Linked DNA regions of Schizosaccharomyces pombe. The gene in region 1 interacts genetically with each later gene. Each region holds a gene or a part of one and is shown on either strand. Other genes may lie near its edges. The genes, in order: ngg1, sgf73, mcl1 and arp6.

Evidence for each region.
Region 2: mutations in ngg1 (region 1) and sgf73 together harm fitness more than expected from each alone (negative genetic interaction), as found in Schizosaccharomyces pombe (3 studies listed by BioGRID, with this or other methods).
Region 3: mutations in ngg1 (region 1) and mcl1 together harm fitness more than expected from each alone (negative genetic interaction), as found in Schizosaccharomyces pombe (2 studies listed by BioGRID).
Region 4: mutations in ngg1 (region 1) and arp6 together harm fitness less than expected from each alone (positive genetic interaction), as found in Schizosaccharomyces pombe (2 studies listed by BioGRID).

What each region holds. Positions count from the first base shown.
Region 1 is NC_003423.3:1,583,266-1,590,684, forward strand, and holds ngg1 (SAGA complex subunit Ngg1/Ada3), read right to left. Parts: upstream 5,134-7,419; 5' UTR 5,078-5,133; coding exon 3,422-5,077; 3' UTR 3,327-3,421; downstream 1-3,326. Other genes in the region: hrd3 (HRD ubiquitin ligase complex subunit), read right to left, coding at 1-979; transcription factor TFIIA complex large subunit Toa1, read left to right, coding at 1,957-1,974, 2,020-2,121, 2,163-3,152; upstream binding transcription factor, RNA polymerase I specific, Hmo1, read left to right, coding at 6,094-6,123, 6,316-7,218. UniProt on the Schizosaccharomyces pombe protein: Component of the transcription coactivator SAGA complex. SAGA acts as a general cofactor required for essentially all RNA polymerase II transcription. At the promoters, SAGA is required for transcription pre-initiation complex (PIC) recruitment.
Region 2 is NC_003421.2:2,120,274-2,127,158, forward strand, and holds sgf73 (SAGA complex deubiquitinating submodule subunit Sgf73), read right to left. Parts: upstream 3,658-6,885; 5' UTR 3,584-3,657; coding exon 3,001-3,583; intron 2,930-3,000; coding exon 2,478-2,929; 3' UTR 2,237-2,477; downstream 1-2,236. Other genes in the region: pus1 (tRNA/U2 snRNA pseudouridine synthase Lsp1), read left to right, coding at 392-1,468, 1,534-1,889, 1,929-2,100; mrpl17 (mitochondrial 54S ribosomal protein mL46), read right to left, coding at 4,272-4,427, 4,495-4,593, 4,742-5,175, 5,270-5,387; twf1 (twinfilin), read left to right, coding at 5,677-5,701, 5,740-5,817, 5,881-6,248, 6,357-6,485, 6,541-6,676, 6,717-6,835, 6,878-6,885. UniProt on the Schizosaccharomyces pombe protein: Component of the transcription coactivator SAGA complex. SAGA acts as a general cofactor required for essentially all RNA polymerase II transcription. At the promoters, SAGA is required for transcription pre-initiation complex (PIC) recruitment.
Region 3 is NC_003424.3:3,280,586-3,288,578, forward strand, and holds mcl1 (DNA polymerase alpha accessory factor Mcl1), read right to left. Parts: upstream 5,168-7,993; 5' UTR 5,161-5,167; coding exon 4,969-5,160; exon of another isoform or gene 4,924-4,968; coding exon 4,772-4,923; exon of another isoform or gene 4,714-4,771; coding exon 2,610-4,713; 3' UTR 2,419-2,609; downstream 1-2,418. Other genes in the region: SPOM_SPAC652.01 (BC10 family protein ), read left to right, coding at 823-929, 999-1,218; SPOM_SPAPB1E7.01C (uncharacterized protein), read right to left, coding at 1,629-2,120; DNA-directed RNA polymerase III complex subunit Rpc82, read left to right, coding at 6,017-6,082, 6,162-7,871. UniProt on the Schizosaccharomyces pombe protein: Has a role in regulating DNA replication complexes. Acts as a regulator of post DNA replication initiation. Associates with chromatin during G1 and S phases of mitosis. Required for the transcriptional repression of the outer repeats of the centromeric region.
Region 4 is NC_003421.2:1,207,940-1,215,305, reverse strand, and holds arp6 (Swr1 actin-like protein Arp6), read right to left. Parts: upstream 3,368-7,366; 5' UTR 3,299-3,367; coding exon 3,219-3,298; exon of another isoform or gene 3,148-3,218; coding exon 3,033-3,147; exon of another isoform or gene 2,961-3,032; coding exon 1,950-2,960; 3' UTR 1,647-1,949; downstream 1-1,646. Other genes in the region: Hsk1-Dfp1 kinase complex regulatory subunit Dfp1, read right to left, coding at 1-860; nmd5 (karyopherin), read right to left, coding at 4,217-7,143.

The DNA.
Region 1 (7,419 bases):
AGTACATGTAGGCAATCGCAGCCTTAGAGGAAGAATGATTTAAGGATACACCATATTCAAACCACGCATACGCAAGAGATGGATCTGGTTTGCCAAGTTCACCATGTAGAGCCATACAGCCTAACCTGAAAGCTGCAATTGATAAACTGTTAGCAGTTTCTTTCGTGGTTGGCGCATGTCTTGGATTGTTGTGAATACTCTTTATAGCTTCAGAAGGAGAATCTGGAATTCCAGAATTTACTAAACGAATAGCTGCAAGATAATGTTTGACTGCTAATTTTATATCCTTCAACTTACCAGGAGTTCCGTACTGGTAAATCGTAGCAAGGCTTATATGGGCCGATATATTATTTCCACGTAAAGCGTAGTCCTTTAAGTATTCAACGATGTCATCTTTTTTCTGAACACTATAGCTTGAAGTACGTGATAAATCATATAGGTCAACCGGATATTCTGCTGCTATATCAGGAGCAAAATGAGACAAGGGTTGAACTAAGCATGATATTTGATGAGCTACTTGTTTATAAAGCTCAACCCCCTTATCCACAGACATCGGTGTAGAAAGTCCATTAAGGTGCTTATATGCAAGGGCAAGTAAAGCATACGTATAATTTTGGGTGGCCGATAGTTCAAGGAATATTCGAGACAACGGTTCGTTTCGAGGAAACGATAAACCTAAGCGTTCGTCAGGCCCCATGGCGTACAGCATGGCAATTAAAAATTGTGATTCCGGATCTCCTTTTTCAGCTTCTTCATATACGTATCCGGGATCTTTAACGAGTTTCGGAAATGTTAAAGTAACTAAATCAGGAAGCGTTTTAATAGACGCTGATACATTAAACCTCGACCCTTCAGGATACGAAGCCACGAGAATTGGCTTCTTATCAATGTTGTCATAAGAAAATTCACCACCAATTACCGTAAACACGCATCTTTTAAAAATAAAGAACAGACATATAAGGAAGTTAAGCAACTGCATCAAGAATATTACTGAAAGTGTGCCTCTTGTCCGTCCTCCCTCCTAAAAAGAACCGTTCAATTTCCAAAGTGGTGAGTTTATATATCATCGGTGACTCTGTTACCTGAATGGAGGGCTTAAAGAAATAGCGCTGGAAGCTGAATAAGTGCAAAGTTGTTTGAATAACAATAAGCTTGTAAATAGAAGACTGTAAATACATTTACATGGTGTCAGAAATATTCATCCTTCCAATTGTTGTCTGTTGTCTTTTAACCTAAATTTCCAAAATTATCATTTTTTTCTAGCAAAGTTAAAAGAAAATACCTTTTCGGTACTCGTATCTTTATCATAACCTCAAATAAATCATTCAGGATCGCTTTCTCGATAATGATAATACACACCATATTGTAATATAATTTATAATATTACCAGGCGAAGAGTAATAATCGCAAATAGTAATGATATTTCGTGATATCGTCTTATTGTCGTAAAACTCGTATCAAATACCGAATATACAGGTTATTTAAATCTTTCATTCTCAAGCCGATTTTATTTGAGCTAAATATTATGTTAGTATTGTTGCTTTACCAAGCACCTTTACTTAAAACAAATCATTTTACTTTAAATTTACAAAATGAAATTAGTTATAGAAAATAAGCTAAATTATCACGTTAGTTTTATGAAAACTTGTGCAGTTAAAAGATATCACTTAATATTGCCAATTTCGGTATTCACAAACTTGAAAAGTCTACAGTAAAAAATTGAATTTTCCACTTTACTAGACATTTAACAGCAACGCAGAGTGATTGATAGCGGCGCATTGTTACTAGAAGTAAGACATGTACTTGATTTTTTATTTACTCGCCTATAATTGTTGTAGTATATTTCTTCGCGTTAGAGAATGTATCGCTTCCTTGTATCTCCTTATTTGAGGCGGCGGTCCACCTACCGCTATTTCTAAGTATCCTTTTACGAACTACGCATCCAACTGCACCACAATGTCCAATTCGATCGTCGTAAGTTAGTATTGTTTTAAGTGTTATTCTAATGTTTTTATCAAGGGTGAGGTCTATCACCACGTGATATTAGACGTGATTGCTAATTCACGGAGCGATTTTGAAGAAAATGGTGTTGATGATGCAACTTTACGAGAATTACAAAATGTACGGTTTTATGAAGTTTAGGTCTTTTTCTAATAAAACAGTTATGGCAAAGCAAGTTAGTTGCTACCGATGTTGCAACTTTTCCTTGGGCACAAGCTCCTGTTGGCACATTTCCCATTGGTCAATTGTTTGATCCAGTTAGCGGCTTGAGGACAGATTCATTAGATGTTACTGCTCCAGCTGTTGCAAACTCTCCCATACTTAATAATATAGCCGCTATTCGTGCTGTTCAGCAGATGGATACATTTGCGCAGCAACATGGTAATTCAAATTATTATTCTCCACCTACTCCCTCTCTCCCCCAGTCAGCAACAAATATTTCGTTTGACAGCTCTGCAATACCTAACGTACAGTCCAACCCTAATAATACTGCCCCCTTCCCTTCTTACAGCTCTAACTCATTGCAACTGCCCACTAATCAAACTGCTGACTCACCGATTATCAACGACCATTCGACTGCAAATGTAACTTCTACGGGCCAAGAACATGCTCCCGACTCTTCATCTACTAACTCATTTGGCGGATTGTTACTTCCCAATCAAAACTCTCCGAAAAAGTCTGAATTAGGAGAGACAGAGTCTTCTAATACCACCCCTGCTAATTCTCGTAATGACGTGCCTCAAACCGATGGTGCTATTCATGATCTAGATGATGCTGGGAGCCCTTCTAATTTTGAAAGTAATAGATTTGCTATTGCACAGAAAGCTGATGCTGAAATTTATGAAGTTTTGAAAAAGAATCGCATTTTGCAAATTGACGGCACTATAGAAGATAACGAAGATGAAAAAAAGCCACCTGTTGATACGCCTTCTGACGAAGCAATTAACTCAGATTTAGACGATCCTGATTCAGATGAGGCTCCCGAAACTGAAGAAGGTTCTGATATTGGACAGGCTATCGTTCTTTGTCTTTATGACAAAGTGAACCACCACAAAAATAAATGGAAATGTGTGTTCAGAGATGGCGTAGTTGGCGTTAATGGAAAAGATTACTTATTTTTCAAGGCGAATGGTGAGTTTGAATGGATTTAAAATTTTACTTTAGGTGTTTTGCTTCAAAAAGTGATGGACGTATTTTATCTATCAATCATTCTTCTTTTTGGCCTTTTTGTTTTCTTCATGAATCATGTTTATAAGTGCATTTAAGTAATCTTCCTATCATATTTTAGTGAGCACATCAATCTATTCTACGGTTAAAAGTATTATTATTATTTCATGCAAATTTTATTCACTAAAGCAAGCAATTAAATTAGATCACAATGATAGAATTACAGTATATACACTTTCAAATTTTAAACGCTTCATACAGATGTACTGTAATTAGATGTAGTGTGGTCCGATAAATCATTAAAAATAGAAGTTGGCGAACCAAGGTGTTGCGTAAGCTTATCCTGAAATAAAGGTTGAAGCTTTTCTAACCACATTGAGCGCTTGTCCATCAATGATTTGATGACAGGAAAAGAGCCGCTCGTAGCTGAAGAGCCAATTTTATCAGTAACAATACGTTTCTTTTTAACCTTCAAACTTCTGTTACGTTTGACATACGCTTGTTCGATTTGTTTATCTAGATCATCCATCACATTTTGGAATTCTTGAAATGCCATTTCCTCAGGAAGCATCTGTAACAGCGCATTCCTCATTTTTTCGTTTTCATCAGAAACTACCTTCAAACGAGCATTCAAACTCCTTAAGGTAGCTGAAATTTCATCATCCTGTCGCTTTGACCAATCTACATCGCCATCATAAAGTATACCTAGTTGTTTTAGGGTGTAACGAAGGCGGTCCTCACAAATTGAAAGACTCGACTCTTGTATATCCGGTTGTTCTGTATATTCATTATTTCCTGACTCGATTCCATCAATGCTTGTACCAATTTTGCTTTTCTCGGATCCAGAATCGGTTTCCGCAAATTCGCCAACAGCAATAGAAGGTTTTTGCTCCTCATCATTCTGCGTGTAGCAAGGAATTAATGAAGCCATTAGTCGTTCAGTGAGTGGACCACACCTAACTTCCTCAGAGACGGTATCTGCCTCATTAAAAGCTTCAAGGGATCCTTGAGCAGAGGTTTGCAGGTTTTGGTAAATTGAGTTAGCACACAGGTTGGTCATTTCATCTTCCGGAGTTAAATCGTAATAGCGTTCCCCCAAAGGAGGAATATTATAGGAAGACGAAACGTCAAATCCTTTTTTTAAAAAAGCAATATCATCATCATTGAAAGCACGAAAATATGGGTCAAGTGACGAATAAAAGGTTGATATTGAAATCTGGTTATTTGGCTTGTTGTGAGAAAAATCATCAGTCGCCGGAGTTCCTGCCACCAACGATCGTACATCACTGGTTGGAAAGGAATCTACACATAAAAGCTTCTTTTTTTGTTCATAAGAGAAGGAATCGTCAACAATGAAAGATAGTAATGAACCGGTTAGAAGATCGTTTGCGTTTTTATATACCAACCCAGTTGTCTGTTCATCTTTACCCTTAACCGGTAAATCTAATTCATTCTCAATTGTTTCCACATTTTCGGGACTGATTTCTTCATTATGGGCCTCTGAAACTTTGGGCTTCTTGGAAACTTTTTCTAGCATAGACTCTTGTGGACTTTCGGAAAGAGAACGCTTTTGCTTTATTTCTTGTTCAACGTTGTCTTCTTTAAATTCTTCTACTTTTTCTTCCACTTTATTAACCGACGATTCGTCTTTTGAGGTTTCTATTTCAGAATCGACATGAGACTCTAACTCTTCTTTGCGCTGGCGAAAATATTCTACACAAGACGGTTCACACTCAATCATTTTTTGCAGCTCAAACAGAAGCCGCCATAATGTCGACACAGACGGTACAACACCAGGAGTTGACGTTTCACTCAGACGGGAAAAGGTCTCGTATTGATTTTCAATTTTAAAACATTGAGGAATCACCGCGGGTTTCGAATCAGCTTCATTTTGTTGTTCGGAGGACATCCCAAAAAAATTTAAATCGTGAACAATACAACATTTACATATGTCTCTCTCCCCCGAAAAAATTCATTACTGAGGTGGTGATTTTTTATACCGGATTTCGATGATGGCGTACTTTTAGCGAAGTCTAGTATACCACTTGTTACATTGTTATAACGGTGCTCAGAAATATTAATCAAGAACAGCGTTGAATTGCTACGAATATGATATCTCAAACCAAATTAAACAGCAATATATTTTATTCATAGTGAATCCATCGCAAAAGCAATATGCTTTGCGAAGTATTTTGAACACTATAAGTGATCTTTGGTTTGTTTAAAATTAAATTTATCTTAAATTTAATAGTTTCTAAACCAATTGGTCTAGCGCAAGAACTAGATAAACAGAGTTGCAGCTTCACAAGATATCATGAAATAGATCTACGAGTCAATGGAATAGGATTTGTTTATACTTAATTAAGAGGTAAATATTTACAAGAAAATGTTTTATCATTTTTTTTTTTTAAATTTTGGATGTTTTTATTGCTATTCTTTCCATTTATGGGACATTATTTGACTGTAAGTCTCAGCAAATTTAGTGGATTGAGATTAGAAAAAGAAAAAAAAAAAAAAAAAAAAAAAAAATTTTTCTCGGTTGTAGATTTTCTCATATTTTCCTATTATATATTTAATTTACTACAATTGTCTTTTGTAATTTTCATTATATCACTCAACAGAATCACATGAAGAAATATCTCACTGAACCATCGTAATTTCAACAATAACAATTGTCACATATATTAAATAACTATAAACTGTAATAATAATAAAATGTGAAGAAAGCTCAACCGAACTGGTGGGTTTAACTGAAGCAATTTCATCTGCTTCGCATTTCCAGCATTAACCAACCACCCACCGTCATAACCGCTAAGATTTAAATTCCCGCCATCACCCCGGTAGGTCAGCCACCATTTCCTGTATTTGCCATCGTATTGAAGCTTTAGTTGTATTAGAAACTTTGAATATTTTTTAAGTAGTACGATGGCTCAAAACTCAACCCAACTGGAAAAGGTATGTGATATTTTAAAGAGTTTTGGTGTTTTGAACCAACATAATGTTTTATGATTCAAAAAATTGATTTAAATCAAGTATTTACTAAAAATAATCTTTTTTAATTGGTTGAAAAGTTTGATGATTAAATGCAAAATTTTCTTTAGTTATCCGCTTGGTTTTTGGTTTTTATCTAACAAATTGCCGTCTTAGATTTCTGGTTCTTTCACAAGGTTGGCGGAAGCTTTTCAGTTAGCTTTAACCGCATGCCGTGAGATCGAAGAATCACTTCCTTCGATATTAGGAGAGAAGTCCGAGGTTTCGAAACCTTTTAAGCCAGCCGTCACTGATCCATCAAATGCGAAGAAAGAGATTAATATGGCAATTGAGTCTCCTTCTAAAAAAGCAACTTCACCTAAGAAAGCTACTCCTGCAGCAGTAGCTCCTGTTGAGGCAACCTCCGCAGTCGATACGTCGGAAGCTGTAGCCTCCATGACCCCAAACAAGCGCAAGGCTAGGGATCCTGCACAACCAAAGCGCCCTCCATCAGCCTATAATCTCTTTCAGAAGAACCAACGATCGGAAATCAAGGAGTCTTTGGGCGAGAAGAGTAACGATGTTAAAGAGGTGAATAAAGCGATGCATGAAAAGTGGGGCTCGCTATCTGAAGATGATCGGAAAACTTACGAAGAAGAAGCTTCTAAACTTCGAGAAGCCTACGAAGAAGAAATGGCTGCTTATAATGCTTCTAAAGAAAATGCGTCAGTTGCTGATAGTCGAGTTACGGCTGAGGAAACTTCTACTAAACCTTCAGAAGACTTATCCTCTCCCACTAAAAAAGATTTGATAGACTTTTCAGAAACCAGACCATTGGCTCAAGCTTCTAGAGCCACTCCTGACATTAAAGAACAGCATGCTAAGAAACCGAAGCGAAAGCACACCCGTTCAACAGTACCTACAAGCAATGTTGAACCAGTTTCTCAACCTCAACCCTCTCCTGACAAAATCGTTTCTAGCCCCAATCCGCCATCAGCGAAAAGGGAAAAAAAGAAACGTCGCAAAAGCTCGATGTCTTCTTCCATTACCACTCCCCCTACCGCCAAAGTTGCTAATTGAGTTTGCTTGATAATTTCATTAATTGTGTATTTCCTTGTTCCGAACATTAAAGTTATAGGAAATGATTAATTAGCAACAAGTGTTTGCTTGTATTGCTGATTTGAGTGCTCTCTATTATTACTCAGGTTGCTAATGTCTGTAAATATTGCTTGTTAAAAATACTGGTTGTTATATAATACATAATAATCGTTTTTGGTCACA
Region 2 (6,885 bases), on another chromosome or scaffold:
TTTCAATTTGGCCTTTACTTCGACAACTGGTAACAAAAGATAAAACACAGAGACAGAGAATAAGCAACAATTAATAGTCAGTCTTAAGTCATTCCTTTTTCAGGCTGATTATTTTTTTTTGGTTTGAATGCTTCATCAATCTGTTTTTGCTCGAAATGCGATACAATATTTAGCTTTTTAATTCTTAAAACTTTTAACTTAAGGTAAGCGAAGTATATTGTTTTATAATTGTTTAGTGAACCATCGTGTAATTATACTCTTATCTTATTGAATGAATAACGATTCCTTGCATTTCATTATTAAGAAAATATACTCTACTATGTTTAAATGAATTTTTACCTGTGCAGCGTAAATTGCGTTTTCATCAAAAACAAATAATATTAACTACAGCATGGGACGTGGTGGTAAACGCACTTGGTACAATGGTGATCGTCGAGAAGCGAAAAGGAACCGACCTAATTCTATATACAATGGAGAAGGTCGGCCAGAGAATTTGGTAGTTGGAGAAAAAAAGCCGAAAAGAAAGGTCGCCTGTCTTGTAGGTTATTGTGGTAGCGGATATCATGGTATGCAATTGAATCCTCCTAGTAAAACAATCGAAGGAGATCTTTTTGATGCTTTTGTGAAGGCTGGTGCCGTTTCTTCTTATAACGCTGATGACCCAAAGAAAGTTGCTTTAGCAAGAGCCGCAAGAACTGATAAAGGAGTTCATGCCGCTGGAAATGTTATCAGTCTCAAACTTATAATGGAAGATGAGAAGTTAATTGAAAAAGTGAACGAACACCTCCCTCCTTCCATTCGCTTATGGGATGTGATCCGTACTATTAATTCTTTTAACCCAAGGACTTATTGCGAATCTCGTATATATGAATATATGGTTCCAACGTATGCTTTTGTTCCACCGAAACCTTCGTCCATACTTGGAAATTGCATTATGAAGAATTCTCCCATGCCTGCTGAGCCAATTAACAAGGAAAATATAAATCAACTCAGTCGTTCATTATTTTATGAAGAAGGAAAGGAATTTTGGGATGATTATGATATTGCAGCCAAAGAGATTTTGAGCCTTTATGAACAGGATCCTGAAGGCTTCGTAAATCCATATTCTAAAAGGGGAGCTGCTGCTCTTGCTAATTCGGAAAATAATAAGGGCTCTGAAGCAGGAGTTTCCGCTAAAACTAATCCAGATATGGATTCCGATTCCTCTGCTATTGTAAACGAGTTTTTAAAGCCTGACTCTGTTGAAGACGAATCTGCTGGTTCCAAGATTGATCCCAGTTATCGTCTCGAACGTGCACTTAAGCACATTGAAGTACTTAAATTAAAAAATTACCGTATTTCCGCAGATAGGCTGTCCGTTATTCGAGAAACTTTAAACCAATATGTTGGAGTTCATAACTTTCACAATTTTACTGTGGGGCAAGCATTTCATCAGAAGAATAGTAATCGCGTGATCCGTTCTTTTACTGTAAGTAAGAATTATCTTCTTTGTATTTATAGTATTCTTGACAAGTCTTGTTTCTAACATTCTAGGCATCTGATCCATTCATGATTGGCGATACAGAATGGATTTCATGTAAAGTTCATGGTCAATCTTTTATGTTGCACCAAATTAGAAAGATGATTGCGCTTGCTATTTTAGTTGTACGAACGGGTTGTCCTGTTGAGCGCATACAAGATGCCTTTAAAAAAACAAAAATTAACATACCCAAGGGACCTGGTTTTGGACTTTTATTAGAGTCACCGTTTTTTAAAGGTTATAATGAACATAAAGCTCCAGAGAATAATCGTGATCCTATCGACTTTACAAAGTACGAGCAAAAAATTACTGCTTTTAAGCATGCTCATATTTATGATAAAATTTTTCTCGAAGAAGCTCGTAAACAAGTGTAAGTATATTTTTTTCTTAAATTAACTAACCGGTTTAGATTTCATTGTTTTTTGTCTTTTATTGACAGTTATAATGAAGAAGATTTCAGTTATTTATCAGATATAGGCATTACTGAAAAGACGCAAGAGGTTTCCTCAAAATTGCCTGATGTTCTTTCTAGCGATGAAGAAGAAGATTCGGCTGAAAACAAGGATGATTTAGAGGGCTAAAGGATTGATTGTGAGACTGAGGATTTGCAACAAACTGATACCATAAACTTTGCTGTTTCTTTTAAAAAATTAGACTACAAACGTGTACATATATTTTTGGAGAATACTTGTTTCTTTCTTTTTTTTAGAATTGATTATTGGTTTTGGGTTCTATTGGTATTTTTATAGTTTATTAACTTCTACTTGATTATTCCAAATGTTAAGACCGTATGGTGCAATATACAAAATAAAAAATGAAAAAATTAATGAAATAGAAACTAGATGAACGGAGGAGAAAATTAAAAAGTCGAAAATGCGTGGTCAAGTAGACCAAAATGTAAACTATAATCTCATAAAGAATTTAAATCATCAACCGAAGCAAAATCAAAAGAATTTCTTTATAGTGGTTGGCGGGCACTAAAAGGAATCACTCGTCCCAATATAGTACCAGTAACTTGCATACCCTGCTCACCATGTCGAAATGCAGCAGCTATTAACTCTCTAGTACGAAAATACGAATGGCGACGTTTTACGGGTAAAAAAACTTTTTGCTCCAAAGGCTGATTGCCAGATTTCTGGAGAACATTCATAATGAAACTGACTTCTTCATCAGAATCAACAGGCGCTTGATGCTGATTATCTTCGGATTCTTTTGCAGTTTCGAGGATTTGTCGTTGTATTTTTACTTGGTTTTTCTTTTGACAAGCTGCAAGCAAAACATCGTATGGCTGAGATCTTCCCGGAACGGCTCGTTTGCTTGACATTGAATGCGTTTTACATGTGAGAGATCTGGCGCACATTTGCCCATTAGGAAGCAAAACACCGCATTGCTTTTCAACATCCACAGGACCTTAATTGAATGTTAGTATTAAAGTAAACAGGTACTCCATTCTCCATATTGAACAGCATAAACCAACATACCTTTGACCTTTGGATTCTTCTTCTTGCTAGCCTCTTTCTTGGGAAGGGCGGATTTTGTAGGCTTTTTGTTTTCTTCTGTCTTCCGACGTTTTGGAGGCATTTCAGGATTCTTTTGACCATTAACTGAATTCTTTTCATGATTCCCAGCTGAGCCCTTAGCTGTCGATTTAACACCATTTTTGATGGGTGCATTATTGCCATTGTTGACATCTTTGTTTAAAACCTGAGAATTCGCAACAGGCTCAAATTGAGGCTTAGGAGGTTTAATTCCATTGCATGAGCTATGATGGTCCTCAATATACTCTGATAGGAAGGGTCGGTCGCATTTTGTGCATACAACATAATCGAGTTCTGAATTGTTAGGATATGACCCATACTGAGGAAAGGAATCAGCAGGTAGTAAAATTTGAGTTTGATTCGTAATGTTAGAAGTTATTTCATCCTTTACCTGTGATTCTGTATTATCAACTCTTTGATCAGCGAGTACATCTTTGGGTAACCCATCCGGGTATTTCAACAAAACTTGCTCATTTCTTTCCCAATTTTCTGGAAATAACTCCAAAGTCTGTTGTTCTGTTAACATTTTATTGATAAGAACCGAGTTTATAAACAGAATTCTACAAAGTTGCCCTTTGTCAATTCCTTTGTAGTGGGACTAAATCTGTAAGTCAAGTGTATGTACGGTTTAATGCTTCCAGAAAGCAAAGTCTATAATTGCATTCTAATGAACTTTCAAAGGATTATGCTGACACATATCATTTCTGATAATTACTAAATTATACAGACATTGTCTTTAAGGGCTAGACTATGACTGACAAAAGAATTTTTGATCTTGGAATTGAGGACAAACTACGGATATCAATTTTGATTAACAATTCTATTTTTTTAGGTCCCTTGAGCTAAACATAGTTTATTATTAAGGTGCGCGCTTTTCCCGTTTTCTCGTACACTGCCAAGAATCCACAGATCATGAGGGTGAGTAATCATGAAATCCGGACTCCAAAAGTAGGCGGCTGAAAATAAAATACTGGCAGAATCATTTGCAAATAAAAAGATAGAATAAATAAGGAGAAATACTTAGTGAAATTCCAAAATTATTTGTTTTTTTTTACATCGTACCAAAACATCAAAAATTAAGGAGAGAAAAAAATAGAAAACGTGAAAATTAAGCTGAAAAATGCAGTAAGATTGTAGAAAGATTGAATTTCCAAGATGAAATGTTCCGCTGTTTATTTTCCGTAGATTTTACATATTGTTTGCTCAATTGAAGATTACAAACGATCGGAAAGTATGTTTTTTACAGAATCCCATGAAGAAGGAGAAAGTTTGTTTTTCAGTTCATCGTACGTACACCAAACCCAGTCATAAACGTTTTGCAGGTTAGGTACATCTAATCCATTTAATAAACGAGCACGTAACAAGAAGGTCTAGAAATAACTGGTTAAACAAAAAATCAACCCAGATAAAATGAGAACAAAAAATCCGTAGTCTTACCTTTTCTTGTTCCGTTTTTAGTAATGCTAATGGATGACGTGCAACTAGCCAAGTCAACGAATTTTCGTCTAATATATTTTTTAAAAGATCTTGACATAACTACAGTTTGTTAGAAAGGCCAATCTGCAGACTATGTAAACAAAAATTGCAAGAGTATTTGATAAATTATTTAGCATCAAATCAATAGTAAGTAGTCTCTTGCACTATATTGTGTATCTTGGAATCGAATTTTAAAAAATGTACTTACCAGATGCAGCGCCTTCTCGGAGCTTGTAACAGGAGTGTTAGGAAATTGCCAACCCGAGCTTTTAGATTTTTTTACCAACAAGTAAAGGGACTTGTCAAGCGAGCGAAGAGTGCTTCGCTCATCGTTTTTCGTATCAGCTTCTGTGACTCTGGATTGCAAGTGAGTTGCAGAATCCAATAATTTGTTAGACTCCATCTCTTTCCTTTCCTTTCCAAATATCGTCTCAAAGGGTGATTCTTTACCTTTTAGTGTTTTTTGTCGTTCTTGCCAATCTTTTTCACCCACCGATCCCTTCTTGAAATAAAATTCTGCAGGTAAAGGATCACTCAGCTCATTCCAAAGTTCCGCATTATATTTATATATAGATTTTTCGAATTCGGATGGTTGGCGAGTAAGAATTGGCGATCTAATTAAAATTGTACCCACTGAACAACCTAAGATATGTTAGCAATCATGTACATCAAAGGTAATTTTTTTATTTATATTTAATATCCCTAGATAATTCATTTTCATTTTTTAATTCTGTACCTTTTAGAGGAGTCGAGTTAGACAAGGGTTTAGAGGATTGAATGGAATTTCGTACAGAAATGTGAAATTGACGCGAAAAAGACCTCTGCATATTTATAATATTTCTCTTCAAGTACATTGTTTAAACTTAGTCAATTTACGCCAAGTAAATCTCCAAATTTCGGCTTTGTTTACTAATCCGGTAAAGACCACTTGGTAAAGGCAATCGACGTTTCGCTATGGCTAGCACTACCACCTGTTTTACCAGCGTACATTACACGCTTCGTTAAGTACTGTAATATTTCTTAGAGACTCTGTTGCTATCGTTAATATGTTTTAATAGATTTCTTTGGATTTCGTTATAATTCAATTTAACTCACTTAGAATGGGGAATTGCTGACGCAGTAAACCTTTCAATCCCCATAACAATGTCTGCTTCCGTCGAATTAAAACGTAAGAAATTTGGCTAAATTCTTCTAACGTGTGGATAGCTACAGAGAAGTTCAGTAAATTTCTCGAGGAGTACTCTTCGGTACCGGTTCGCGCCGCCATTATTAGCATTTCTAATGGTAAGTTTCCATTCGGGCTAGAAGAGTAAATTTTAAGTTAGTTGAAGTTACTAAATGATTTAGAGAATTCATTTGACGTGAAAACAATGGTTGAAAAATCAGAATCGATAGAATCTGATTTTAAGAAAGTCCGTGAATGTTTGCTCGGATCTGAAGAACCTGCATTTGTCCTCGTTTATGATGATAGCAAGAAAAATCTATTACAATTAATTTCCTATGTCCCTGAAAATGCGAATGTTCGCAGGAAGATGTTATATGCCTCTAGTCGTGCTGCATTTGTAAGATGCGTAACTCTTGCTAAACTCGACGAGTCTTATTTCGCAAGTACTCCGGAAGAGTTAGATTATCAGCAAATTATGAAGAGCTTAAGCAAGCAAGAGGACCAAAGTCCTTTACGACAAGATGAACTCGAAAGGAAAGAGTACAATGAGGTAGGTAAACTGTATTGGGGTGGATGGATTTTTCATACTTCTTTACCGTGGCTCGTAGAATTTATAGCTTCTACTCTTTTATTTGCATCTATTTTAACAACTATGTAGTCTATGCAATCCTCAGTAACTCATAAGCGTCCTTTGGTGACCCGTGGTGTTGCTATGTCGATTGATGATAAAGCCTTAAAGGCTCTTTCTGATTTAAAATCATCTACAGAAAACAATCTTGTTATTTTGGTAAGGAAGCTATGATACTTTTGCTATGTATGGTGTTGCTAACCTCCTTTAAAAGTCTATTGACAAAGAAGTCATAAGTTTAAGTCAAGAAAAGCAAAATATACCTCCTTCTGATGTGAAATCCTTCTTTTCTTCCACCGAACCTAATTTCGCTTTCTATTCCCTGCCAAAAGACGGCTCTTCAAAAATTTGTAAGTACAGATGCAGGATCATTTTATTAACAAGGTCTAGTGTTTATATACATTTGTCCAATGCAAGCAACTGTCAAACATCGAATGGTTTATTCTTCTTCCAAACTTGGTCTTTTGGATAGTATTAAAGCAGAATTGGGTATTGTTATTGATGGCAAGGTATGTTTATCCCTCGTAGTAGATTTTATGCTCACATGACAGATTGAATC
Region 3 (7,993 bases), on another chromosome or scaffold:
AAGGCTTTAGAGCTTTGCACAGAGACCACTGGTTATTAGGTACATTGCAACCTTACGAATAAACATTAATGATCGTAAAAAAAATATATAAGATACACCGAAACAACCTAAAATTGATTGCGAAGACTGAGTCCGTAAACCATATTTTCTTCCTAAAGCGACTTGAAAATCAATTAACCGCAAAAACAAATCAAATGGTAGAGTTTAAAGAAAAGCTAATCCTGTTTTTTTAGTAAATCTAAACCCAAGCTCGTCAAAAAATTCAGCATATTTAATCTTTTTTCTCTATTTAGCAAATGTGTTTTAAGTGCACTAGAATGCGTTATTGATTCAACTAGTAAACTGACTTTACAATATGGATATACAAGGCGTATGTAAAAAGATGAACCAGTTGAAGTTTTAAATGAAATTTTTAAATACTATATGCAATAAACACTTTATATGACCCAAGTATGTGTGACGGATATCGATGGTGAAGCTTGTCAATTCACTCAATCAATGTCAACCCAACCAGTGCGTCAATCAACTTGCAGTAATTTATAAAAGTTTTGAAATCTTAATTGTAATCTAAGTCGAAAGAGTTTTTATATGCTTCTGAAGTTGTAAACAATACTGAACATTGCAATACCAAAGGATCGCTGGATCTACAACTTTTATCTAATTAACGATATTTAGCGCTTACGAAATCTTTGAATTCCGAGTTATCGCTTCGGTTTCACAAAACGGCATATCGTCTTAATGGATTGTTACGTGACCAAATGGCGTTAATAGTGTAAAATTACATCCTTCAAAAACTTGTTGCTTTACCAAACTTGGTACAAAATGCTATGTTTACGATATTTTATTCCAATGCTTTTAGTAGCTAATGCTGCTCCATACTTCTTCTATCCGATCTTTATGCTGTCCATGATTGCTCGGAAATATCCATGGTAAGTTCAACAACCAGTTTGATAAACAAGCCGTCCATTCCATACGAGATTTTGACTAACAGGCTTCAGTCCATATTGCATGATTATACTGGGATTGTTGATTAATACACGCACTCTGTGGAGTGATTCAACCTTTTTTTCATTCAATCGAAATATTTTCGACACAAAAGCATTCCCTACGGAATTAAAAGAAGCCGGCTACAGGTTGGTTCGACTTTCATGGATTCGGTGGCTAGCGGGTAAGGAAAGCATTCACATTCCTTGGTTAGATGCCACTATTAAATTATAATAGTGCAGTCAGTCTTTCACTACAAAATTGAATCGCTTGAGCTTGATTCATAAAAAATAGGTGTGCCTTTTCATATTACCAACTGTCCCTATCTAAAATTTATTTACTTAACATACCGACTAAACAAAAAAAAAACCCTCCTGATTGAAAAGAGGTAAACACGGCACCCAAATTAAGACCCATCCAATGTAAACACTAAATGTGATTAAGGATCGTAAATTTTTTCACAGAAAAATAAATTTCGATTCAACTTCATGCACGTCAACCAATAGCAATGCCATAAATACTCCAGTGCTGCTTATTTATGGGTTCATAGGATGTCCATTTCCTTGAGGCTAATCTCTTGATCAAAATGAATCAGAAGTCAAACCTTTTATGCAAATATTTTATGTATGTCTTTTCTTTCAAGTTCACCTTTTTTTCTTCCCAAGTTTTTTATAAATATCAAAGCCAGAACTTTGGGCGTTAGCTCTTTTCGATCGGCTAGTAATGCGAGCCTTTGAATCATCATCATCATCATCAGTATCAGACTGTTGCTCGTTCAATTCATCGCCTACTTTATTCAATTTTCGCTTTAAATTGTCGTGGTTTTTGCCGCCTTCAATTTTTTCAGCTTCCTTCTTCTTCTGCAACTGTCTTTCAATCTTCTTCTTTAATGCCGGTGGCAGGCTTTTCAATTTCTCATTTTTGGAAGTAACCCAGCTGTTTTCTGACTGGTCTTTTCTACTAGCACCCAACCCTAACCGTGGCGGCCTAGCTTGTAACGGTGGATCGTCATTTTTTTCATCGCTACTGACAGATGTATTTTCGTTTCCCAACCACGAATTGATTAAGTTTTTTGTGATGCTTATGGATGTTTGATATTTATTCAATAACACATCCGCACTCACTTTTTGTTCCATGCTAAAATTGTGTTTTCGTTTGCAGCTTGGCACTTTACAAAGTTGTACTGCACTTAGTGTCTGCAACTTTACGAACTGTAACGCACCCTAAGGCACTGAGCTTTGCAGTTTCTACATTAGATTTTATTTCATTTCAGAAAGGAAAAGAATACAAATTCCTTTGTGACTCTTTGTCATTTTAAAAAATGTTTCCACCTTTTCTTATGAATCAATTTTTTGTACCCCTGTGCAATTTCTAAATAGACTCGAAATATATGCCGAATATACTGACATATAAACATAGAGGTTATATGGTAAACAAAATGAAATGTGTTTATTAAATACAAAAATGAGAAAAAAATCAAAGTGCTAGATGCTTATATAAATGAATTTAGAAAGGAGCAAGATCGTGACAAAACTTCTGCATAGCTTTGCTTCAAACCCCTTTTGATTAGCTCAAGCTACTAATATGCAAAAAATAATGTTACATAAAAATTAAGACGTGAGGGTTTAGACGTTAGATAGTAGATTACCAATTTTTTCAGCAACATTTGTAAGGGAATGGTGGAGCGCAATCTTTTGAGCAGCAGCAATACTTGTTGTCCTTCTCAAAGTTTTTGTCAATTCATAGACACGTTCGATTCTTTCCTCGAGACAAGCCTTTTGAATAAGTTGCAACAAGGCTTTGTCAATGTTAGCTTCTAGTCTAGCAATGCTTATTTTTTCGTCCTCCGTAACATCGCCATCTCCTATGCTATCTTCCAATAAAGTCAAAAATAGTTTATTACGGAGTTGTAGTTCTTCTAAAACAGGAACAGATGTAGAAGCATCCGGATTGTTCGTATTACAAGGAATACGAAAGTCAAATTCTGTAAACATCGGACGAGGGAAATAGGGATATCGAGAGGCTCCTTTTAGCAATATACAGTGAAACTGATTATCGGCAACAGTTACAGGCCAATAAGACTCTTGCCGTGATTTGCGACGCTCCAATTCATTTGTATCTAAAACAGGGATCCACTTGGCTTGTCCTGGTATGCGCCAATGCATTAATACCAACAATACCCCAGTTGAATCGTAGATGTAAGGATCTCCAACATCCGAAAAGAAAACACTCTCTAACGTTCCTTGGGGTGGTAATGCAACCCCATCACCAGTTTGCAACATTTCATCACGAGAAATGTCTTCAATGGAATAAACAAGACGAGAATTTCCATCAGAGCTCAAACCATCGTTGGCGATGGTTATAATCGTATCCTGAAAAGATGAACAAGCTACAAATGGCAAGTGTTTACTCCTGTGAATGCTAATTGGAAAGCCTTGTCTTGAGAATACGCGAACATATCCAGCACTCGTACATACCAGTACAACGCTTGAGCTTAATGAAATTGTCACAGGACTTTCATTCTCCATGGGTAAAGCCATTGCCCATTCAGATTTACGCGACCAATCAACATGTGCTTTATAATAAATAACACCAGGTGAACTTTCCGTTGCAGGCGAAGCATACAAAGCACCTTCATGATCTAAGCATGCCATTTCAAATTTTTGGTCATCAACAAAGTGATATTTTCTATGAGTAGTTTCATCATGAAATTCAACCGTTATAGTGTTGTGTTCTGCATCTTGCTGTACAGTCCAGATAAACCCTACCAAGTTCAAACATAGATATCTTCTATTACCCTGCCATGGTGTACTTCCAGTATGAACGGGTTTATGTATTGAGGCTTGCAGTAAACGTCTTTTACTAGAACCATTCTCTATTGTTGTAGTTCTGTCGATCAACGCCTTCTGCTTTCTTTTCTTTGCAAGGTTTAAGTCGTTTTCATCAACCATATAACTATCACCATCTAGGTCCAAAGATGAATCCAATCCATCATGATTGATAAACTCATTTTCCTCGTTGGCAGAGTTCCCATCCAAATCATTGACGTTCTGACTTTGCTCATCGTCAGAACCAAAAAGATCATCAAGCTCTTTGGAAGTACGGTTTTTACTTTTTGACGAAGTCAAAGGCTTCGTAGGATCATTTTCTTCCTTCAATATTGATTTAGGAATGACATCCGGACATGAATACAAAATTCCCTGATTTGTAGTAAATGATAACACGTTTTCAAATGGCTGCCAGGCGAGTGCCACCACTGTACTATAGGGGAGCTCAACGACTACTTCATGACTTTGTGTATCCCAAATTAAAATGCCTCCTTTTTTAAATGAAGCAGCTATGTACATTCCATTACTGGACCAGGAGATATCTGTTACACCAGAATGATTCTCTTTTGGAAGAAGTTTGTACAATGGAAGCCAGTCATCAGGGGAAATAACTGATACAAAATGGTCGGTACTCGCAACTGCAAATGTCCCGTTTTTAGGATGCCAAGCCGCCTTTGAGCAAATTTCTGATTCTGCCTCTAAAGAGGCAATAGTGTTTGTTAAGAACTTGATGAGTTCACGAGTTTGGGTGTCATAAAAATACAAAATTCCATTGCAACTGGAAACTGCTAAAAAATTTCCGTTCGGGCTATAAGTTACATGTTTATTCGAAGCCTTAGCTGGACGAAGAGAGAAAATTTGTGAAGAATCAGTGGACGAAACCACTTTCACTGCTGTTTCACTATATTTGTTAGGCTGAAAACGACCAAGTAGAGCATTATACACTAAAAAAAACTTACTCACTAGCTATGGCAATCCAATTTCCATCTACTGAATATGCCACATCGCGAATAGGAAGAGTAGTACGCGCCAGCAATGTATGCTCGGTAGGAGAATCGATGGGATATACGCAGACAGTTGCATCTTCTGAACAAGTACAAAAATAATTTTCCTATATAAAAGTCATTAGCTCCAAACTTTTTTGAGGACCACTTACAGCAACTGCAATTCCTGTTATAGGATCTTGATGATTATCAATGGAGTCGGGTTCCTCATCAGAACCAACCTGAAATTTTCGGATTACTTGATTAGAACCGACCGTAAGAAGAAATTTCCCATCACGAGTATACGCTAGACGCGTCAGTCCATCTGTATGGGCATATCTAGGAACTAGCCTATTCCCTGCCATAATAGCTAGAGGAAGAGTTTGTATATGAGATTGGGACTAGTATGGCAATAGCGATACTTTCGTTAGCTAGTTACGCTATTTAATGTAAACAAACATTTAAATAAAAAATCTACCACGAAAGCACTATTGAGAAATTGCAAATGTTTGTCTACAATTTATTTTCATATGCAAGTACGATTGAAAATATGCAATCCATGCTTTTAATCATCTGCTAACAATTAGAAATTAATACTAAAGTAACTTATATGTGAGACTATAGGAATAATTTAACTTTAATCATTTCAGAGCTTTTTTTAATTACTCTGAAGTTGTATTTGATGTTCCATTAGAGCAGTTCTGTTAAAAAGTTTTGAAATGTCTGCTATAAATGTTCAAACAGCCGCACAGCAATATTCTAAATGGAGGAAAAATATGCAATTAGCTATTGTCTTTTAGTATTTTAATTAATGCTTACCATGACAAGCTATAAAACAGAATCTGCAGATAAGTCATGCTTGATTAAACCACAAAAAATCAACGACATGGAAATGGAATTGAGAAACCTAGTGGAGCCTCTCACAGGAAAATTAAAAAGAAGTTAAATAAATTAATCATACAATTAGATTTCGATCATTCATTTAATACTCGCAGTAATTATATGTATGTATTTTTTCAAAAAGTAATATGAAAATCGTTTTTGCACATCGTTAAAGTTTTATTCTGTATTAGAGTGATACACTATAAATGTTAACGCTGCTTTAACGACGCACAAAATACAGGCTATTGGCATACTCTAGGTTGTGAAATCTTTGCTTTTTTGTAGTTACGTCTGCCAAACAATTTACCATTCCAAGCAAGATTGGTAATCTGCTTGATCATGTCACAGTATGCTGTAGAACTGTGTGAGATTCTCGTAGAGGAATTTTTCGGTGATTGTTGCTCGGTAAGGATTCAATTGTATTTCTAAATCTGAAGTTGAGGTTGCAAAGTCTTTTGTATTAACCAATTTATTGTCAATTTAGGCAGTAGCTAGTGCACTTTTGAGGCATGGTCGTTTAACGATTCCCATGCTACAAAAACGGACTTCGTTGCCAGGACCAAAAATTCGACAAGCACTTGTCAGTTTAATGCAGCATCATATGGTTTTGTACGTTACGGTCATTGAAAATGTACGTGAAGTCACATATTATGAGACCCAATGGAAGGAAATTTATAACATTCTTCGCAAAGGTAAAGATGTATATTTGATATCTCAAAAATTAAACCAGGAGGCTGCCTCTGTGGTAAAATATCTTAGTACCCAAGGACGTGCACGTGTACTCGAAGTATTCAATGCTTTCGATAAAAAGGTTGATGGGAGTGATGAAGAAAGCCGTATGATGCAGAAAAATCTAACGGAATTGATTTACCAAAAGTTTTTGCTAGTAGTGCAACCGAGACATTTAATACCAGTAGGAGATCAGGAAATGCAACTCCGGATCAAGCACTTAGATCGCAGAAAGTCAGAAAACGTGTCTGAAATAAAAAAAAATAGAGAGGTTGATGATTCTGTCGCCTTGGAAATGTTAGAGCTTCGTGCAGCAGATATGTCAGAACTACAAGGACTTACCAGGAAGCCAAAGGAATCAATACCACATCCAACAAAAAGAAGGAAACGTGCTGTTGGCTCTGCTCCGTCTGTATCAACGGATTTGAATAATATATTAGACGATGATAATAGCATCCTTGTACCTGATCTATCCGCGCATGTTCGCATAAATTCAGGAAAACTTTCTGTCCTCTCAAAAAATGCCAGGCTTACCCATTGGGTGGAAAGAAGAATTGGTAAATCAACTTCGCTTGTCTATTCTCACGTTCTTTCTATGTTGGAACCCAGATTATTTAGTATTTCCAATCAATCTCCGGTCTTTACACTCACGACAATGGAGCTTACGAGAAACTTTCCGAATGATATCGACGTTGAGAGTTCGATTGTCGATAAACAGTATAGCGTAAATTCTGCCTCTAACGAATTGCGTGTCATGGAAAAGTTGAATGAACTAGATGAACTTGCTGAGGAAGATAATTATGAAGAAAGTGTTGATGAAAACGCAAATCGCAAGAGCAAGGTGCTGGCTCAACACCTGGAGCTTTTGGCAGATTGCTCATTAAAATTTATTTCAAAAATAGGCAATCGAGGAATGGGTGAATGGGCGGTCAATTTTACCCATTTAACCGACATGCTGCGAGCCATAGAATATGAAAATTTTATAGAACAAAAATTTGGGGAAAGAGCTATTCGTTTACTGCGTATCATAAAAGATAAGGGAAAAATTGAGGAAAAGCAGTTGGCGAATATTGCTCTCCTTCGTCAAAGAGATTTACGAACCGTTCTTCAAGCTATGGCAGAAATCGGAGCCTTAGAGTTACAAGAGGTTCCGCGTAGTTCCGACAGGGCCCCTTCCAAGACTTTTTTTCTTTGGTTTCACCGTCCTGATCGGGCGTACTCTCTCCTTTTGGATGAACTTTATCATGTAATTGCCAGACTATATATGCGATTACGAGATGCACGAGCTCAGAGAGCTCAACTCATTGAGAAGGCAGAACGAATAGATATTAAAGGCAACGAGGAACAATATCTACAAAAGTTTGAGCAAGCTGAGCTAAAAAAGTTGTATAGTTACGAGGAAAAACTGCTTTTACAAGCTTCTCGGTTAGATGATATGGTATTAGTATTTAGGGATAATTTATAAAAATGGTTTCTTCGGCACTTCTTTTGCTTCACCTAACTAAACACATTTTTACTTATGTAAATAATCATCGATGTAAAATTTACTTTTCTTAAATAGATCGTTGGCTTTATTATTTCTACCTG
Region 4 (7,366 bases), on another chromosome or scaffold:
ATGTCATGCACGTAAAGGTAGGGTCCACGAAAATGCACAAAGTCCTGTCTAGGAACAGATAAATCGCGTTCGTTCGTTCCTTGCACCTTTTCTACGTAAAGCAAATAACTCAAGTCATTCCCCTGTTTGGTGGGTGCGTTGGTTGTGCATTGATCATTCTCCATTAAAGTTTTTAACACGCGGTTGCAAAGCTTTTCCATAGACCAAATCTTCATGTTCAGTTGCCTAGCCTTAGTGATTACATCCTGTTTAGCATACTTAACCGAAACATCTTGGATAGCCCGAACTGTTGCAACATGAGTAACATTTCCTGAGAAGAACGTCTCAACATGTCCACCCAATTGCTGAATTTGTTTTTTCACTCGATGAGCAACACTTGGGTCGCATCCATCCAAATAAAAACGGAAATGAGGAAATGCCTTCTTGTACTGTCTTTTCCATTCCTGTAACCGAGCCTTTTGAGAGGAATTCTTAGATCCCAAAACTTTCCCAGCTGCCATGGATTCCGCCTTCGACTCAGTATCAGCATTAATGGGGGCCAGCCCCTTCATGACAGGAATATCCTCATTTTGAGGAGCATCATGTTTAATCCGTTTTACGGACTTGCGATATGATTTAGGGGTAATAACAGTTTGATGTTTAGGGGTGGTTGTGATAATATTTTCGTTATTAACAACCTCAAAATCGGTTTTCACTTCTCCTTCATCTTCCCTGTTGTCTTTCCAAGTTATAATTTCCTCCCTTTGTGCTTCGTTTGTCTTTTCCTCAATTCGATATTCCTTTTGTTTGGATACGGCATCATGTTTCGGGAGTACTATATTCGCAGATCGAGGAGCTAGAGGACATCTTCCTAGGTTCATGTGGTACAGCCACCTTACTAAATTAGTGTATTTGATTTTTCCTCTTAATGAGAGCCTAGCTTGGGATTAATTCTCTTTGTTTACTTTCGCAAAAGACAATATTAGTGTTTGGTGGTGGTCAACTCGAGATTACTGCAATTTGGCCAACTTTTACAGCTTAAAGTAACGATTCAATTGGGTAACATCTATGAAGAAAATATAAAATATCTGTACATATTTATATTATTAAAGTAAATTTATATCATTTAATCAACTTTTACTTTTATATTTAAGGCTTTACTGTTGAAAATGTGAGGGAAAATATATGTAGCCCATGAACAAGGCTCAACAGAAATAATTTGGGATCTCGATTCTTCTTATTACACAGTTTTCCTTTACTGAATTATATGATTAACTTGAGAAAAAGAACAATTTATCCAACAGAAGCAACAAAATTTCACGAAAAGCTCTTTCTATCCAAAATGTAAACAGACGCGACACGACTACATTGCAACGCAACGCGCTACATTCTAATTAAAGTAGTATACCGTGACTGCTCTAACTCAAGGTTGCTTTAACTCTTATACTGTCAACCTGAAACTGCACTGTACATATAAAATGCACTTGAAACAGTAGTGAAGAAGTGCTGAAATTTTTCTTTTTTTTCAATCTTGTTTTTCAGGCACATTAATAATATGTAAGTATAAACACTTGAAGAGATAGAATGTTACATATGATGCTTTACAAATCGATTAGTCTTGAAGACACAACTATGTGGTTAAATTTTTATACTTGTATACTGATTTTCATTCCTATCTTTTTTATAATATCTTTCATTTCGCTAACGCTTTTTAGGTATGAATTATCCTGGCGACAATAATAAAGATATAGTTATTTAGCTGTTGTTTTAGTGGTTGATCAAGAGATAGAATGATTCGTTAATTAATATAAAAAGATTTTATTCTTAATGCATGCATATTTTTCGTTTTATATTGCTGTAGCCTTAATGTAATAAACCAATTTCTTAAGATGCGAATTATCAGCTCGCCTTGAGAATTTTGTGAAGATAGAAATTTAACCCACATTATTGAGTTTTAAAATGGTGATCTATTATATTCTCCTTTTTCGTGTCATTATGTTTGCTCCATGTTCTGAGTACTCAGAACGAGTTATTTTATTCGCATTCCAGTGCTCCAACGGCATATGAGATGCCTTTTTCCATGGAAAGCAAATAGGATCTGAAGGTTCAAAAACTTTAACTTCCCAATTAGCTGGTGCCAGCGACCGTAATTCAGATGATAGTCTTTTATGAAATCCGGGAAATTTACAGTTTCCTCCTATTGTAACAACATTTTCAAGCAACATTGCCTGTATATTTTCAGGAAAGTGGGTGACACTTTGCATGACCGCCTCTGGAATCCCAGCCTCACGTATTTCGATATCAGATGGGGAAAATAATAATTCTGGTATCATGAATCTCTCATTTGAAAGATTCAAAACTTGTTGCTCTATTTTTTGATTAATATCTCTAACAATATATCCATGTTTTCCAGTGCTGTAATCGGGCAAAGCATAACAAATTTCCAATTTTGACCGTGGTTTTTCGTGACATATCTCCATGTCCTCCTTGAAGTTTTGAGACACATAACAAACGGACTCTTTAATTTCATTAACAATGTATGTTTCTTCCATCATATTGTACTTCCGGTATGAGATGACTTCTTTTAAATAATTCGTAAGTAATTTCCCTCCCACATCAACTCGCTTTACCGCTTGTTCTTGAACAGAGAAATCAATCACAGGAATTATGTGTGTAAAGCTATATCCAGAGTCAATTACCAAAACGCATTCTCCATGTTGACCAGTATACGCATCTTCTTGATTCATTGTGAAACTTCCATGATCCCAAGGAATTAGCTCAGCTGGGGTGCAAGGGAGGTAAGCATCGAATTGGAATTCCTCAAACACGAGTTGTATAGTATTGTGTTCTATGGAAGGCATTGTAAATACGGGCTGTGTAAGCAGTAAAGAATAGTCTGCCATGCTAGGTTCCATCACACCTACATTGCGCATTACCAAGTCCCATACGGCTGTTTCTGTGCTCCAATGGACCAAATACCCCTACTAGTATTAGTAAACATAATCTTTGTATTTATTTTGTTCGTAAATAATACTCCCTCATAAATGCTGTACCTTTTCATGCGCCCTGCGAAATTGTAAAGTTGTAAAGTCGTTACAGTTGGCCAATTCATTCCCCAAAAATAATCTGTTTCCATCTTTTGATCTCGTCAAACAATTCGGAATTTCACTAAAAACTATCGTTAGCTGAAAAAAGTAAAAGATACATGAAATTTATTGACGTGATGCACTTCTTCTTACACAACTTTTCCACCTGCAAATCCAGCTTTTATATGGTATGCCCCATTGTCTAAAACAATAGTTTTAGGGGGTAGTCCCATATTATTAATAAAAATGTATTCCTATATCTTAGGTCTTAACTTCACCCAAAAACCGCGATTAAATGTACTGTTGTTACGGCTTTGGAATGCTGTTATATGATAGCGTTGTGCTATAACAACAATATCATTACAGTTTGAAGCAATAGTATAATAACGCTGGCTCTTAAAGATATTTATGATATTTTTAATAATATCATAAATTTGAAGGATATCTTTTTAAAATAACTTTAAAGATAAATCTTGCAAATCTTAGCTTTATCAATATAACAACATCGTTAATGGGGGGCTGTCTATCAAATTTAGTTTGTAAAAGCCGTTTATCATATTATCCAACCCCTAAACTAGCCGTTATCAATTTAGTTAGCTGCTTAATTCAACGTACATCTAATATACCATTCATAAACACCGACTTTCCCTATACTACTAAATCGTGGATACTTAACTTTATGCTTATTTCCTCAAGAAAAATATATTTCTATTTCATTTTCTCATCAACTTGCGTTTGTCAATTCGCATAAAGTAAAAGCAAATGAACTAGTATTAATCGATTTTAAAACTTCTCATATTTATTAACTGGTATATTATGATTTTAAATTTCATTTAATCAATTGGCGTTCCAAAATTCTTATAAAAGAAACACACCTCTGCGTTTGTTTTCACCGAACTGTAAACCGATACAACAATAATTTTCTTAGCCTTCCCTTTAGACAAACCCTCCATCCATTTTTCCCAAGCCATAATTCCGGGTCGTATCTCATTGAAGAAATTATTTTTACAAACCCGTAGAGTTTGATTTCCCATTTAAAAAGAGCCGTTCAAATATGTCAGTTTGGCTTATTACCACTGTGTAGAAAATGCTTGTTTTATATTTTTATATTTTATTACCAAAATTGGACAGGCTTAGAGCGCCAAACAGGCTCATGTTTTATCGGAAGCGACAGCAAGGGTAGAGGGTTTTTCAGTTACCAATCTCTGTAAGGATTGCTGCTCGGATGCTTCCAAATTTTTGACAAGATCTTGTAATGTGACAGGGCTGTTGTCCTTTAAATGAACCATAAACTCTTGGAAAAGTGAAAATGGATCAACTTGATCTAACAAAGTATGGAAAAGAGGATCCTCGTCCAACAAGTAATTTCCTTGGAAATGCTCAAATTCGTCAAAATCGTCAACCACATCAGCCGAGATTTCTCCACCCAAATCAGGTCCCCCATATTCGACGGCAAAGTCATCGACACCCTCATCATCATCGGCTTCCCAATCGATGCCATCATTCCAACCAGAGCCAGATAAATTAAATGTTTCACCGTCATACTCTTTTTCTAATTCCGCGCGAGCAGCTAATGCTTCAGGTAGTGTATTTAAAAGAGTTATCATGACTTTCATTATATTACCCCAAGAGTCTTGGATAGCAACAGCAACTTGTTGAGCTCCCAGTGAAATTACCGATAAAATAGCTACCAAACTCAACTTTTTATCATGCACACGAGTAAACGAAGGTATATTTTCAAACCATAACGCAAAGAATGGTAAAGTCCACTGATGCATTTCAAGTACCCCAAGAGACATCGATGGGTTATAATATAATGCATTGATTATAACCTCCAACAAAAATACGCGGTATGTTTGAGAAGTTGGCTTTTCAGTTACAAGTAAGAGATTACCAGCAACCTCAATAAACGCAGGCACATATTGATCCAAAAGGCCACGATAATTAAGCATTAAAAGTTCGGTTAGTTTACAAGCCGAAACACGGTCATTGACGGCCAGGTGCTCGCTATTAAAAACTTGCATGATAATATCAACCATAACGGCGATATAATCAGGACGGGAAGCAAATTCCTTTCCACCATACGTGATAAAGTTACTTAAGGCAGGAGTTGCCTCCTCTACAAACTCAATGCCAGACTCTTTCAACACCTTTTGAAGCTTTTCATACACGCCCCACATAATAGGGGATATCTCCTTAGAAGCAAAAGTGCAACCATCGATAATTTCAAACAACTCTGCATACACGTCAAAAATGTTGTTATCTAATACAAAATTAATCATTGGAAGTAAGATTGCTTCAATTTCACGTAAGACATCAACCGTGTTCTCGAGACTTAAAATCATTGTACTGAGAGTATTTAAAATGCCAATAGCCGCAATCGATTTATCATCAACTAAGGAGTCAAAATCATCTACGGTAGTAGATTCGTCCATGGTTTCTTGCATAAGCTTGACGAAGGTATTGCGAAGTTGTTTAGCCAATTGTGAAGCAAAAGGTGTTAACTCGTGACTAAAAGAACTTACAAATTCCTCCATACAAGAAGATAAAGCATCAATATCAACTTCATTCGCCAGAAATAGGAGATTTTGCATAATGATGGGTACATGGGCGGTCATAACATCGTGTACCTCCAGATGACGCATAAGTGGTTGCAAAGCTAAAGCAGCTTGAATTCTCACAGGTAAATCGTTATCTTGAAGACAATTCAAAACTGCCTGGTATGCATTCAAAAGCTGCGATTTATCACTCCAATCAATTTCTGAAAACCGATTGATCATTTCACAAGCTCGAGATCGTAAATAACCAACTGGGCTAGTAAATTCGGGCATAACGTGAGCGACAAGGAAATCTTGCATCATGCCTGCAACAGGGGAGTTCTTAGAAAGGATGGAATTAGATACAGCAGCAACCATACGAAGTGCACCTTCTTTCTGGCGAGGATTTTTTTCATTAGGAGGTGAAGCGGCGTATTGGTTCAGGATGTCACTGGCGAAGGAAAGAATACCCATGAACGTATATTTCTTGCGTTTCGATGCTAATTTCACAAGGAACCGTGAAGCAGCAACATCAGCAGAATTGAAATCATCATAGATATCAATATATTTGTGAATAAACTCTACTGGATCAAGTTCCCAAAGTTCTTCATCTTCTTCGCTCATACATAATTGAGGAAACACAAAGCTGCCAATCAATAGTTGAAGATGAGGCTTGAGGAGTGCCCAAGTGGACTTTGGCTTCACACACTCTTCATAGAAGCATCCCAAAAAATACAAAACACGGGGAGATAACCAGAGCTGACCTTGAGTCCAAAGAATAGTTTGTTGAATGTATGTCTCCAGAATGTTGGGAACAACATTTGTAATGAAGTTCTTTGCAAAAGCACGGTATTTGTTTGCAGAATCACCCACCAAAGAGCTAGGCTCTCCATATCTAGTGAATATTCTATTCAAAGAATAATACGCCCATTTTTTACATTTATGCCAAACATGAGATTGACGGACCTCTGGTTCAAGCGACATCAAAGATTCGGGGAGAGGTTTTTGCACCACTGCTAATAAAAGCTGGATCCAGGAAAGAATCATATCGTTAGCAAGTAACTCCGGAGGAAGCTCAAGGGCAATGACAGATTTAAATGTCTTTAAAATAAGACGAAGCATTTCGGCTGAATCATTGTCTTCAAGATTGATAAGACCCTGACCAAGTTGAAGAATAGTGGGGAAAAGTGCTGCGACTAACGGACCAATGTCACGTTGACGGTCATCCAAACGCCAGCGGTATACTTTAGCCAACTCATGAAAACAAATAAGACCAGCATACACCTCACAACGTTCGGTTGAGTGAACGAGGTTAGAAGTGTATTCGCTGAATCCGGGCCAATATTCGGGGAAATCGGTTGACAAGATGATATTAAGGATCGCCATCAAATGAGACCTTGTCGACATTGGGCTTTGCAAGAGCACCGGAAGAATGTTTTGCCTGAACAAAGCTTTTTGCTCTTCCGGAATATCCAAAGGTGATGGAGCATCATCGATACTAGACCAAGAACGAGATACCCGATTTTTTAAATAAATAACGGCTAAATTCAATAATGTTAGCTATAACATCTTCAAGACATGATAATGAATTAAATAGGAATTGAGTAAACAAATCAGGTTCTCAACCAAAAAAAAAAATAAATAAATAAATAAAAAGATGAGAATGCCTAAGAAAACAGAAGGATAATTAATTAAAAATGAAATTAATAGCTTTTTTTTGTGCTAATACAAAATAAAAAAAATTTTGAGATACAGTACGATAAC